Arabidopsis thaliana: one gene and its partner. Each later gene encodes a partner of the first gene's protein in a complex. Each region holds a gene or a part of one and is shown on either strand. Other genes may lie near its edges. A codon is read from its position in the direction of its gene.

What was found.
Region 2: the proteins of AT2G31810 (region 1) and CSR1 are in contact, whole or in part, in a cryo-EM structure (PDB 6U9H), measured with the Arabidopsis thaliana proteins. Residues at the interface, in NP_850172.1 of Arabidopsis thaliana: Asp95 (codon at 2,415), Glu96 (codon at 2,418), Asn101 (codon at 2,433), Arg102 (codon at 2,436), Arg109 (codon at 2,457), Arg110 (codon at 2,460), Tyr112 (codon at 2,466), Arg137 (codon at 2,541), Gln141 (codon at 2,553), Glu144 (codon at 2,562), Gln145 (codon at 2,565), Gln147 (codon at 2,571), Lys148 (codon at 2,574), Leu149 (codon at 2,577), Val150 (codon at 2,580), Val152 (codon at 2,586), Leu153 (codon at 2,589); in NP_190425.1 of Arabidopsis thaliana: Arg216 (codon at 2,542), Ser217 (codon at 2,545), Lys220 (codon at 2,554), His221 (codon at 2,557), Asn222 (codon at 2,560), Tyr223 (codon at 2,563), Arg233 (codon at 2,593), Leu241 (codon at 2,617), Arg246 (codon at 2,632), Arg272 (codon at 2,710), Leu273 (codon at 2,713), Pro274 (codon at 2,716), Gly275 (codon at 2,719), Tyr276 (codon at 2,722), Arg279 (codon at 2,731), Asp397 (codon at 3,085), Ser398 (codon at 3,088), Ala399 (codon at 3,091), Glu400 (codon at 3,094), Gly402 (codon at 3,100), Lys403 (codon at 3,103), Asn404 (codon at 3,106), Lys405 (codon at 3,109), Thr406 (codon at 3,112).

The regions. Positions count from the first base shown.
Region 1 is NC_003071.7:13,522,216-13,529,400, forward strand, and holds AT2G31810 (ACT domain-containing small subunit of acetolactate synthase protein), read left to right. Parts: upstream 1-1,832; 5' UTR 1,833-2,055; coding exon 2,056-2,303; intron 2,304-2,380; coding exon 2,381-2,594; intron 2,595-2,749; coding exon 2,750-2,833; intron 2,834-2,958; coding exon 2,959-3,027; intron 3,028-3,535; coding exon 3,536-3,619; intron 3,620-3,785; coding exon 3,786-3,938; intron 3,939-4,207; coding exon 4,208-4,294; intron 4,295-4,580; coding exon 4,581-4,685; coding exon of another isoform or gene 4,686-4,690; intron 4,691-4,766; coding exon 4,767-4,889; intron 4,890-5,186; coding exon 5,187-5,339; intron 5,340-5,582; coding exon 5,583-5,648; intron 5,649-5,941; coding exon 5,942-6,031; 3' UTR 6,032-6,497; downstream 6,498-7,185. Other genes in the region: AT2G31800 (Integrin-linked protein kinase family), read right to left, coding at 39-159, 470-555, 651-755, 842-916, 1,003-1,431.
Region 2 is NC_003074.8:18,000,664-18,005,438, reverse strand, and holds CSR1 (chlorsulfuron/imidazolinone resistant 1), read left to right. Parts: upstream 1-1,689; 5' UTR 1,690-1,896; coding exon 1,897-3,909; 3' UTR 3,910-4,156; downstream 4,157-4,775. Other genes in the region: AT3G48570 (secE/sec61-gamma protein transport protein), read left to right, coding at 527-620, 720-835. UniProt on the Arabidopsis thaliana protein: Catalyzes the formation of acetolactate from pyruvate, the first step in valine and isoleucine biosynthesis.

The DNA of each region.
Region 1 (7,185 bases):
AAAAATCTTTTAAGGTGTAAAAAGAGGGAGAAGCTTACTTTAGGATGATACTCGGACACAATCATCATGGGGACATTTTGAGTAACAGCTCCAACAAATTGCACAACATTAGGATGACGTACCTTCTCGAATAAAGTAAGTTCGTGTTTGAAGGCATTTCTGTGGGTACATAATAAAAGTCAGATGAGAAGATTGCAGAACAAACGTAATATATGAAAAGAAAAACAAGGATTAACACAGAGGGAATGAAGTGGATTCCAGAAAATATTACTGGAAATGCACAATTCCAACATAGAAGATTCTATAAGAACTATGATTGAATAATGTTACAGCTCATATCATCATCACTATGAACATAACAAAGATGATTTCAACGATCTATAGCTTCACTCAAGAAGAAATTCAAACTCCTTCTTGACCTGTTAGCTAACATAGACATATTACTCACTGAAGAGAAGAGTAATCTTACATAGTGTCAGAATCCTTGTAGAGATCCTTATCAAGTATCTTTACAGAAACCTTAGTCCCATTCCATTTAGCCACTTGATATATTCCCTGGCAAGTGGAAAAGTGATGTAGTATCTTGTTAAAAATCTATAAATGGAAACTAAGACATTATTACAGGAAAGTAAAGCAAAGAGAGATCTTGCCTTTGAGATACCATCAGCTTTCCGAACTTGAAGTTCCTGCGGATTTAACTCGTACTCAGGAACTTCACGAGGATTCGCCACAACCATGGGTGTCCTTTTGGTTTTCTAAAACCAAGAAGAAAATGTAACTATAAACATATTAAGATATGAAAAGAACAGAGCTTGAATCAATGAAAAATGCAGCAACATACCGGAACTTTAGCTCCACGGGCTTTCAAAATGTTGAAAACATCCATGTTACCATAATACTTAGCATCAGCAGCTGCCTATCCACACAACACAAACATAATTTCAAAACCAAAAGCACAAAACCTAACCAATAAGAGACAACAATAGAAATTTATCACATTACCGTGCTTCCCCAACGATCACGAGCATCAATATTAGCCTTCCTAGTAAGAAGAAGCTTGACAACATCGACATGACCTTCACAAGCAGCGATATGAAGAGCCGTACGACCATCAAGATCGATACTATTAACATCAATACCTTCATCAAGCAGATCCTGAACACCTTCAACATCACCTCTACAAGCCACAAATAGAAGCTGCATAGTAGCGTCGAGATTATCCGGTACAGCAAGCTGCGGACCGTTAGAACCATCAGGACTCCGACGAATCGGATCTAAAGACGATTGTCGACCAAAACTAAATCGCATATTGTTCCGGCGAGGATCATGTGAAGCTTGACGCGTGAATTGACGACTAAGCGTACGACGAAGCGATCCAGTTGAGAATTGTCTCGAGATTCCTCGTTTTAGCTGTCCCACTACATTCGCCATGATTTCAAATCTCTTTCTCTTCTTCTCTCTTTCGTCTTCTTCTGCGAAAAAATCGAATGGATAATCACATTTTCTTTTTCTCGAGAAAATTGATCTGGTGATTATGTGAGATCCGTCTCTAGCGCGTTGCTTATCGAGAAATAATTAATTTTAATTTGACGGGTGAAGATATTATTGGCGACGTCTGTTTCCGATTGACTTTGATTTGACTTTTCCTTTCAATCATTATTTGGCGAGTCCCGCGTAAATATGGACTCTTCTTGATTGTCCACTTTTTTCGGTGGCTTTACCGGATTTAAAATCATTTTCTTTTCCTAAATTATGAATTTTACCCTAAACTTCTCATAATTACAATTAGTTCCGACGAACCCAAGATACTTTTTAGCAAAATTAGGAAAATAGTTGACTCGAAAAGGTTGTTATACGTGGAGCTGACGTGTTGGTCTTATCTACTCGAAGCCTTTTGGGCTTTTCTTAAAGCCATTGATTTCTAAGGTCGTCAACAACCGAACCGGACCGGACGGTTTGACCGGTCTAACCAACATATATACGTTCTTTTTCACTTGCCGTTTCGTCGTCGTCAGTCTTCTTCAGTAGCAAAAAACCTTCGGCTTCGTCTCGTCAATGGCGGCCATTTCTGTAAGTTCTTCACCATCTATTCGCTGCTTGAGATCGGCATGTTCCGATTCTTCTCCTGCTCTTGTATCCTCGACGCGTGTATCGTTCCCGGCGAAGATTTCATATCTCTCCGGTATATCTTCGCACCGTGGCGATGAAATGGGTAAGAGAATGGAAGGATTCGTTAGAAGCGTCGATGGGAAGATCTCTGATGCGTCTTTCTCCGAAGCTTCATCTGCGACTCCAAAATCGAAGTACTGTGAATAATATTTGCTTAAAGTCGTTTCCTTTTGGCCTTTGCTTTGATTGATTCTTTGTGCATTAAAATCAGGGTGAGGAAGCACACAATTTCAGTATTTGTTGGAGACGAAAGCGGAATGATTAATAGGATTGCAGGAGTGTTTGCAAGGAGAGGATACAATATTGAGAGTCTTGCTGTTGGTCTGAACAGAGACAAGGCTCTATTCACCATAGTTGTCTGTGGAACTGAAAGGGTACTTCAGCAGGTCATCGAGCAACTCCAGAAGCTCGTTAATGTTCTAAAGGTTGTTCTTTTGTTAGATCGCACTTATTAGTTTCTGCATGACTATAGTTTCATTCGCACCAACTTTACGCATCAGCCAATTTGCTTATTCATTATTTGAAGATTACATTTGCGATTTCCTTTTCCATTCTCTTCATTGACTTGGACATGAATTAGGTTGAAGATATCTCAAGTGAGCCGCAAGTGGAGCGTGAGCTGATGCTTGTAAAAGTGAATGCACATCCAGAATCCAGGGCAGAGGTACTATTCCTTGCCTATGGGAAATTAGAGTTTACTGTACTTGCTGGTTGCTTCTGATTTAGGGCAGAGGTGGTGTTAGTTTTCTCTCTAAATTTGATTAAGCTTCTGTTTTAATGAATTCACAGATCATGTGGCTAGTTGACACATTCAGAGCAAGAGTTGTAGATATAGCGGAACATGCATTGACTATCGAGGTACATCTACTTATTATGATTTGTGTTGGTCTTGATATTTGTTTCGCACTGTAGCCTGTGGGTTTCAGACTTCTGTTTGAACATCTTACTAATCGTTGGAAGACATCAGAAATATTATGGAGGGTATCATTTTAACTTTTATATCTATTAGTTGGATTTTCGTTGCCTTTTGAAACTGATGATGATCCACATGCAGGACTCTATTATAGGATGTGTATTAAAGTTTATTTGAAACTTTTGGTGCAACTTCTTGAATTTAATATAACGAGAAAGTTATTCAACAGTGTGCTACCTTTGATTACCCTATGCTTATAATCTGTATTCTGAGTTGTATTGCCTGTGCAAATTTCTGTGGGAATGCTCAGTGTTCACTTTTGAAAGTTAGAGAAGCATAACCTTAAATATATTGTTCTTTTTACCTTGATTATGAGAAAGTGGAGTAAAAAAAAGGGTGTCTCTGATTTACCTATTTTAGCTCTTTAGTAATCATTTTTAAGCTATTTTGCAGGTAACTGGAGATCCTGGAAAAATGATTGCTGTAGAAAGAAATTTGAAAAAGTTTCAGATCAGAGAGATTGTAAGGACAGGAAAGGTAGTGTATGTTTGGAATTACTAGATTTTATGGCTTTTGAATATCATCTAGTTTGTGCTATCTAATGTATGTATGTAGTAGTTACATCTTTGAGTGGACACAAAGGCATAGATCTCAGGGACTTTCACTAATTTAGGGAAAATGGAATGACATTTTTGGATAACAGATAGCACTGAGAAGGGAAAAGATGGGTGCAACTGCTCCATTTTGGCGATTTTCAGCAGCATCCTATCCAGATCTCAAGGAGCAAGCGCCTGTTAGTGTTCTTCGAAGTAGCAAAAAAGGAGCCATTGTCCCTCAAAAGGAAACATCAGCAGGGGTGTGTGCTTCTCTGCTCCTTAGATTGTTTAACTTCAGCTTGAAGTTCCTCACTTTCCTTTCAAAAAATTTGGTTGCATAAATTATAGTAGGTTTGGCTATTTGATAAAGTTAAACAGAACTATAGATGCCTGTGTTTTTTTCCCTCTATGTGGTGGCTGCCTGGAATCAACATTTGAAGCATGCCCTTTTTTGTTTTTCTCCCTGGCTGCACTGAAGGATTTCCGAGTTTGCTAATTTTTAAAAGTTATCTTATCTTTTTAAATGTAGGGAGATGTTTATCCCGTTGAGCCATTTTTTGACCCCAAGGTACATCGTATTCTCGACGCTCACTGGGGACTTCTCACTGACGAAGATGTAAGAGAGTTCTTTGCTATATATCTAACTTCGTGCCATGAATTTGCTAAAAAGCAATATGAAAAATTCAGATTGTGGTTTGCATTACACGAGTTACACTTGTTTTTCCATTCAAGCCGTCTGGCATAATCAATTCTGTTAATATAGTTACATAAATGATAAATCAATTGAGTGTTAGATTTGGAGACTGTATGTATTTACTTACAAAGCAGACATTGAAAGAGTTGGGGTTTTCTTTAAGCTATTTCGTTTTATTTATCACAGTTATTCTTTTTTGATCTTTCAGACGAGTGGACTACGGTCGCATACTCTATCATTGCTTGTAAATGATATTCCAGGAGTTCTTAATATTGTGACTGGTGTTTTCGCTCGAAGGGGATACAATATCCAGGCATAGTCCTTATCTCTCTCATACACGCACACACAGTGTGCTTAGGTTTACTGACACACTGAAAGATCTCCTTTCTTTTAGAGCTTGGCCGTAGGACATGCTGAAACCAAGGGCATTTCACGCATTACAACAGTTATACCTGCAACAGATGAATCGGTCAGCAAATTGGTGCAGCAACTTTACAAACTCGTAGATGTGCATGAGGTGGGATTACCAAAAGCTACTGTCTTTCTTATATATTTAACAGTTTGAATGTCTTGATGGCCCTATCATTCCTTTGCTGTCTTAGACCTTTTGGCTTTTTTTAAAACGTAGATTAGAGGAAGAGTTTCTGCTAAATCTTTCTGGACTTTCCTATATCATTTCCTGGTCTTGTCTGTTTACTCGAATGAGACCTCTTGTTCCAGAAAGTCAAACTGTACAGGCTTGATGAAAATAATTCTGAACATGATTTGCCGCAACTTTCCAAGCTGTTATTAACTTTGTGAGGATTTTCTGCAGGTCCATGATCTTACTCATTTGCCATTTTCTGAAAGAGAACTGATGCTGATTAAGATTGCCGTGAACGCTGCTGCTAGAAGAGATGTCCTGGACATTGCTAGTATTTTCAGGGCTAAAGCTGTTGACGTATCTGATCACACAATTACTTTGCAGGTAAAATACATTTCTCATAAATGGGATTTTTATGTAGCTGTTATTGCATCTCAGATGAGAAATCCTTTCAATTGGAGATCTTCAAAGTTTCACGTCTTTCCATAGGTCTTCAACTTGTTTGACATAATCAGAGTTCCGTTTGAAAAAAATATATGAAGCTGACTTGGATTTTCCATCTTAATCTCTATTTTTTTGCTTTTGTGTTTTGGATTTTGTGCTGAAATTTGTTGGCTGTGGGTATAGCTTACTGGGGATCTAGACAAGATGGTTGCACTGCAAAGGTTATTGGAGCCCTATGGTATATGTGAGGTTTGTTTCGCAATCTACTTTCATCTCTTAGTGAATGCATAACCCCGTGAATTCTTAATTTCTTATAATGATACTCCAATTGTTCGGATAAAGTCCCAAAATTTAGTTGTAGTCTTTACGACTTAGAAACAGAGTAGTGAAATCTAACTCTCTGGTAAAATCAATAACCAAAGCTGGACCTAGTTACATGAATCTTCTTCTGGTTGTGTGTAGAACAAGAATAAGCTTGACAAGCCATGACTACTTTCAGATTATGCATCGTGTTGACGCTTATTATGAACAATCAATCACAGGTTGCAAGAACCGGTCGTGTGGCATTGGCTCGTGAATCGGGAGTGGACTCCAAGTACCTTCGTGGATACTCCTTTCCTTTAACAGGCTAAACCGTTGCAGAGTGCATCCATCGAACATCAGAAACTTTTGAAGGTAAAAGTTTCATTACACAGTCTATGAACCAACTCAAAGACAGACAGAGAGACTGCGTAGATATATGTTTGTGACTTTGTTTATGAAACAATTAGCTGATTTTGGCTTCATTTCGATTCTTTTCTTTTTGAGATAAGAAAAGTTGTTAGGATTATTAATATTCGTTCGTCTTATTTTCCCAATATTTCCCAAGTTATTATTATGAGATGGCTAAAAGAGGAAACACAAATGGACTTTGTAAATGTTATAGTCTAGAGAGTCAAAAGTCAAACTAAGTAAGCGTTGACTGACCCGGACGTGTACCTAAAAATGACTCCTCTTCTACAAATTCGATTCTTACATTGGTAACTTCAATAACGATTACTCCTGACAAAAGTAATTCAATAATTGTGAGTCCAAATAAGATCCATACGACTCATATCATCATCTCTTAACCTTTTCAATAAATGTCACTTCTCTAAGAATATACTTTCAAGTTTCAAAAAATCTAACCATTTTCATGATTATTCTGTATTTAGAATCGGGGAAACTTAGATTTGGAAAAATACACTTTTGGAAAGAAAAAGTTGTGTTTCTCTTCGATATGCATATGTAAAAGAAAAAGTTTGAGAATTGCAATTATAGAGCCGACCATGTGCTTTTTATGCTTTACTCGTTTATTTTAATTTGTCTGTAGTGACTACAAAATTTTCGGGCACTATGAATGGATCGATCAATTTATTTATGCTTTATCGGCGGAAGATATAAATTATTCATTGAATCATAATTTTGTAATCTCCTTGTTTCTTAATTTATTTTGTACTAAGACAGTTCTCAATTTAACCACAGTTTATAACCGTAATTTTGTACTAAGATATAACTGTATTTTGTAGTTAGTGTAGAATTTTGTCTCTCCAGCTATAAAAAGCTAGAGTTAACTTTTGAGAATTTTTTACAACACTTTTCCGTATTTTGTAATATGATCATATTACTAAGCTAAGAAAATCCGGTCAAACAAATTGTTTAATCATTTAATTAGAAATGTGAATAAGTTAAGAAATGCAAGTTCTTTTTAGTCGTCCTTAGTTTTGTGTACAAGACATTAAATTACAACACTACACAAAAAGGAGAA
Region 2 (4,775 bases), on another chromosome or scaffold:
GTAACAAGGAGTCTTGGTATGCTTCCATGCTTTTTATCCTTTTTTGTCATGGAACCATGATTTGGTTACCATTTATTATGTAACCGAAATTTTCATTGTAATAATGAATATTTAAATTTTTAGCAAAAAAAAACAAAAAAAAACAAGGAGTCTTGTCTTCGTTCTCAAATTTCAGAGCTCTTGCACTTTTCAAGAGTTTTACTTTGATGAGTGAGACATTTGTCTTTTTAGTGTTTATTTTCTAAACTTAAAATAGTAGCATCAACATCACTCAATTATAATTCTTAAGATGTTGTAGAAAAATATTTTATAGATGGAAAGTAATCGATATTAAGACAAATAAGAAACCAAACCGGACTTTGTGTTCAGACCGAATCAAATCTGAATTGGAGAAATTATGGTGGAGGCGAAAGTCAACGGAACTAAAGTATAAAACCAAATGTCAAAAATAAAACCCAATTTTCATCCTTAAACGAACCTGCTGAAACCCTAATTTCGATTACCAATTCCGATCTAAAAAGAAGTCATGGAAGCCATTGATTCCGCAATCGATCCTCTCAGAGATTTCGCTAAGAGCAGTGTTCGTCTCGTCCAGCGCTGTCACAAACCCGATCGCAAGGGTAACGCCTTTTCTCAAAAAAATCTCATTTCCGATTTTTGATCTGTAGATTAGGGTTTTCTGAAATTTTGATATCATTTGTAATTGAATTGGTTATCAGAATTCACGAAAGTAGCTGTGCGTACGGCGATTGGATTTGTGGTGATGGGATTCGTTGGATTCTTCGTGAAGCTCGTTTTCATCCCAATCAACAACATCATCGTTGGATCTTCTTAGTGTAGTACTTTCTTTACGAGGTAATTGATCTCGCATTATATATCTACATTTTGGTTATGTTACTTGACATATAGTCATTGATTCAATAGTTCTGTTAATTCCTTTAAAGATCATTTTGACTAGACCACATTCTTGGTTCATTCCTCAATAATTTGTAATCATATTGGTGGATATAGAAGTAGATTGGTTATAGATCAGATAGTGGAAGACTTTAGGATGAATTTCAGCTAGTTTTTTTTTTTGGCTTATTGTCTCAAAAGATTAGTGCTTTGCTGTCTCCATTGCTTCTGCTATCGACACGCTTCTGTCTCCTTGTATCTTTATTATATCTATTCGTCCCATGAGTTTTGTTTGTTCTGTATTCGTTCGCTCTGGTGTCATGGATGGAGTCTCTGTTCCATGTTTCTGTAATGCATGTTGGGTTGTTTCATGCAAGAAATGCTGAGATAAACACTCATTTGTGAAAGTTTCTAAACTCTGAATCGCGCTACAGGCAATGCTCCGAGGAGTAGGAGGAGAAGAACGAACCAAACGACATTATCAGCCCTTTGAGGAAGCTCTTAGTTTTGTTATTGTTTTTGTAGCCAAATTCTCCATTCTTATTCCATTTTCACTTATCTCTTGTTCCTTATAGACCTTATAAGTTTTTTATTCATGTATACAAATTATATTGTCATCAAGAAGTATCTTTAAAATCTAAATCTCAAATCACCAGGACTATGTTTTTGTCCAATTCGTGGAACCAACTTGCAGCTTGTATCCATTCTCTTAACCAATAAAAAAAGAAAGAAAGATCAATTTGATAAATTTCTCAGCCACAAATTCTACATTTAGGTTTTAGCATATCGAAGGCTCAATCACAAATACAATAGATAGACTAGAGATTCCAGCGTCACGTGAGTTTTATCTATAAATAAAGGACCAAAAATCAAATCCCGAGGGCATTTTCGTAATCCAACATAAAACCCTTAAACTTCAAGTCTCATTTTTAAACAAATCATGTTCACAAGTCTCTTCTTCTTCTCTGTTTCTCTATCTCTTGCTCATCTTTCTCCTGAACCATGGCGGCGGCAACAACAACAACAACAACATCTTCTTCGATCTCCTTCTCCACCAAACCATCTCCTTCCTCCTCCAAATCACCATTACCAATCTCCAGATTCTCCCTCCCATTCTCCCTAAACCCCAACAAATCATCCTCCTCCTCCCGCCGCCGCGGTATCAAATCCAGCTCTCCCTCCTCCATCTCCGCCGTGCTCAACACAACCACCAATGTCACAACCACTCCCTCTCCAACCAAACCTACCAAACCCGAAACATTCATCTCCCGATTCGCTCCAGATCAACCCCGCAAAGGCGCTGATATCCTCGTCGAAGCTTTAGAACGTCAAGGCGTAGAAACCGTATTCGCTTACCCTGGAGGTGCATCAATGGAGATTCACCAAGCCTTAACCCGCTCTTCCTCAATCCGTAACGTCCTTCCTCGTCACGAACAAGGAGGTGTATTCGCAGCAGAAGGATACGCTCGATCCTCAGGTAAACCAGGTATCTGTATAGCCACTTCAGGTCCCGGAGCTACAAATCTCGTTAGCGGATTAGCCGATGCGTTGTTAGATAGTGTTCCTCTTGTAGCAATCACAGGACAAGTCCCTCGTCGTATGATTGGTACAGATGCGTTTCAAGAGACTCCGATTGTTGAGGTAACGCGTTCGATTACGAAGCATAACTATCTTGTGATGGATGTTGAAGATATCCCTAGGATTATTGAGGAAGCTTTCTTTTTAGCTACTTCTGGTAGACCTGGACCTGTTTTGGTTGATGTTCCTAAAGATATTCAACAACAGCTTGCGATTCCTAATTGGGAACAGGCTATGAGATTACCTGGTTATATGTCTAGGATGCCTAAACCTCCGGAAGATTCTCATTTGGAGCAGATTGTTAGGTTGATTTCTGAGTCTAAGAAGCCTGTGTTGTATGTTGGTGGTGGTTGTTTGAATTCTAGCGATGAATTGGGTAGGTTTGTTGAGCTTACGGGGATCCCTGTTGCGAGTACGTTGATGGGGCTGGGATCTTATCCTTGTGATGATGAGTTGTCGTTACATATGCTTGGAATGCATGGGACTGTGTATGCAAATTACGCTGTGGAGCATAGTGATTTGTTGTTGGCGTTTGGGGTAAGGTTTGATGATCGTGTCACGGGTAAGCTTGAGGCTTTTGCTAGTAGGGCTAAGATTGTTCATATTGATATTGACTCGGCTGAGATTGGGAAGAATAAGACTCCTCATGTGTCTGTGTGTGGTGATGTTAAGCTGGCTTTGCAAGGGATGAATAAGGTTCTTGAGAACCGAGCGGAGGAGCTTAAGCTTGATTTTGGAGTTTGGAGGAATGAGTTGAACGTACAGAAACAGAAGTTTCCGTTGAGCTTTAAGACGTTTGGGGAAGCTATTCCTCCACAGTATGCGATTAAGGTCCTTGATGAGTTGACTGATGGAAAAGCCATAATAAGTACTGGTGTCGGGCAACATCAAATGTGGGCGGCGCAGTTCTACAATTACAAGAAACCAAGGCAGTGGCTATCATCAGGAGGCCTTGGAGCTATGGGATTTGGACTTCCTGCTGCGATTGGAGCGTCTGTTGCTAACCCTGATGCGATAGTTGTGGATATTGACGGAGATGGAAGCTTTATAATGAATGTGCAAGAGCTAGCCACTATTCGTGTAGAGAATCTTCCAGTGAAGGTACTTTTATTAAACAACCAGCATCTTGGCATGGTTATGCAATGGGAAGATCGGTTCTACAAAGCTAACCGAGCTCACACATTTCTCGGGGATCCGGCTCAGGAGGACGAGATATTCCCGAACATGTTGCTGTTTGCAGCAGCTTGCGGGATTCCAGCGGCGAGGGTGACAAAGAAAGCAGATCTCCGAGAAGCTATTCAGACAATGCTGGATACACCAGGACCTTACCTGTTGGATGTGATTTGTCCGCACCAAGAACATGTGTTGCCGATGATCCCGAGTGGTGGCACTTTCAACGATGTCATAACGGAAGGAGATGGCCGGATTAAATACTGAGAGATGAAACCGGTGATTATCAGAACCTTTTATGGTCTTTGTATGCATATGGTAAAAAAACTTAGTTTGCAATTTCCTGTTTGTTTTGGTAATTTGAGTTTCTTTTAGTTGTTGATCTGCCTGCTTTTTGGTTTACGTCAGACTACTACTGCTGTTGTTGTTTGGTTTCCTTTCTTTCATTTTATAAATAAATAATCCGGTTCGGTTTACTCCTTGTGACTGGCTCAGTTTGGTTATTGCGAAATGCGAATGGTAAATTGAGTAATTGAAATTCGTTATTAGGGTTCTAAGCTGTTTTAACAGTCACTGGGTTAATATCTCTCGAATCTTGCATGGAAAATGCTCTTACCATTGGTTTTTAATTGAAATGTGCTCATATGGGCCGTGGTTTCCAAATTAAATAAAACTACGATGTCATCGAGAAGTAAAATCAACTGTGTCCACATTATCAGTTTTGTGTATACGATGAAATAGGGTAATTCAAAATCTAGCTTGATATGCCTTTTGGTTCATTTTAACCTTCTGTAAACATTTTTTCAGATTTTGAACAAGTAAATCCAAAAAAAAAAAAAAAAAAATCTCAACTCAACACTAAATTATTTTAATGTATAAAAGATGCTTAAAACATTTGGCTTAAAAGAAAGAAGCTAAAAACATAGAGAACTCTTGTAAATTGAAGTATGAAAATATACTGAATTGGGTATTATATGAATTTTTCTGATTTAGGATTCACATGATCCAAAAAGGAAATCCAGAAGCACTAATCAGACATTGGAAGTAGGAATATTTCAAAAAGTTTTTTTTTTTTAAGTAAGTGACAAAAGCTTTTAAAAAATAGAAAAGAAACTAGTATTAAAGTTGTAAAT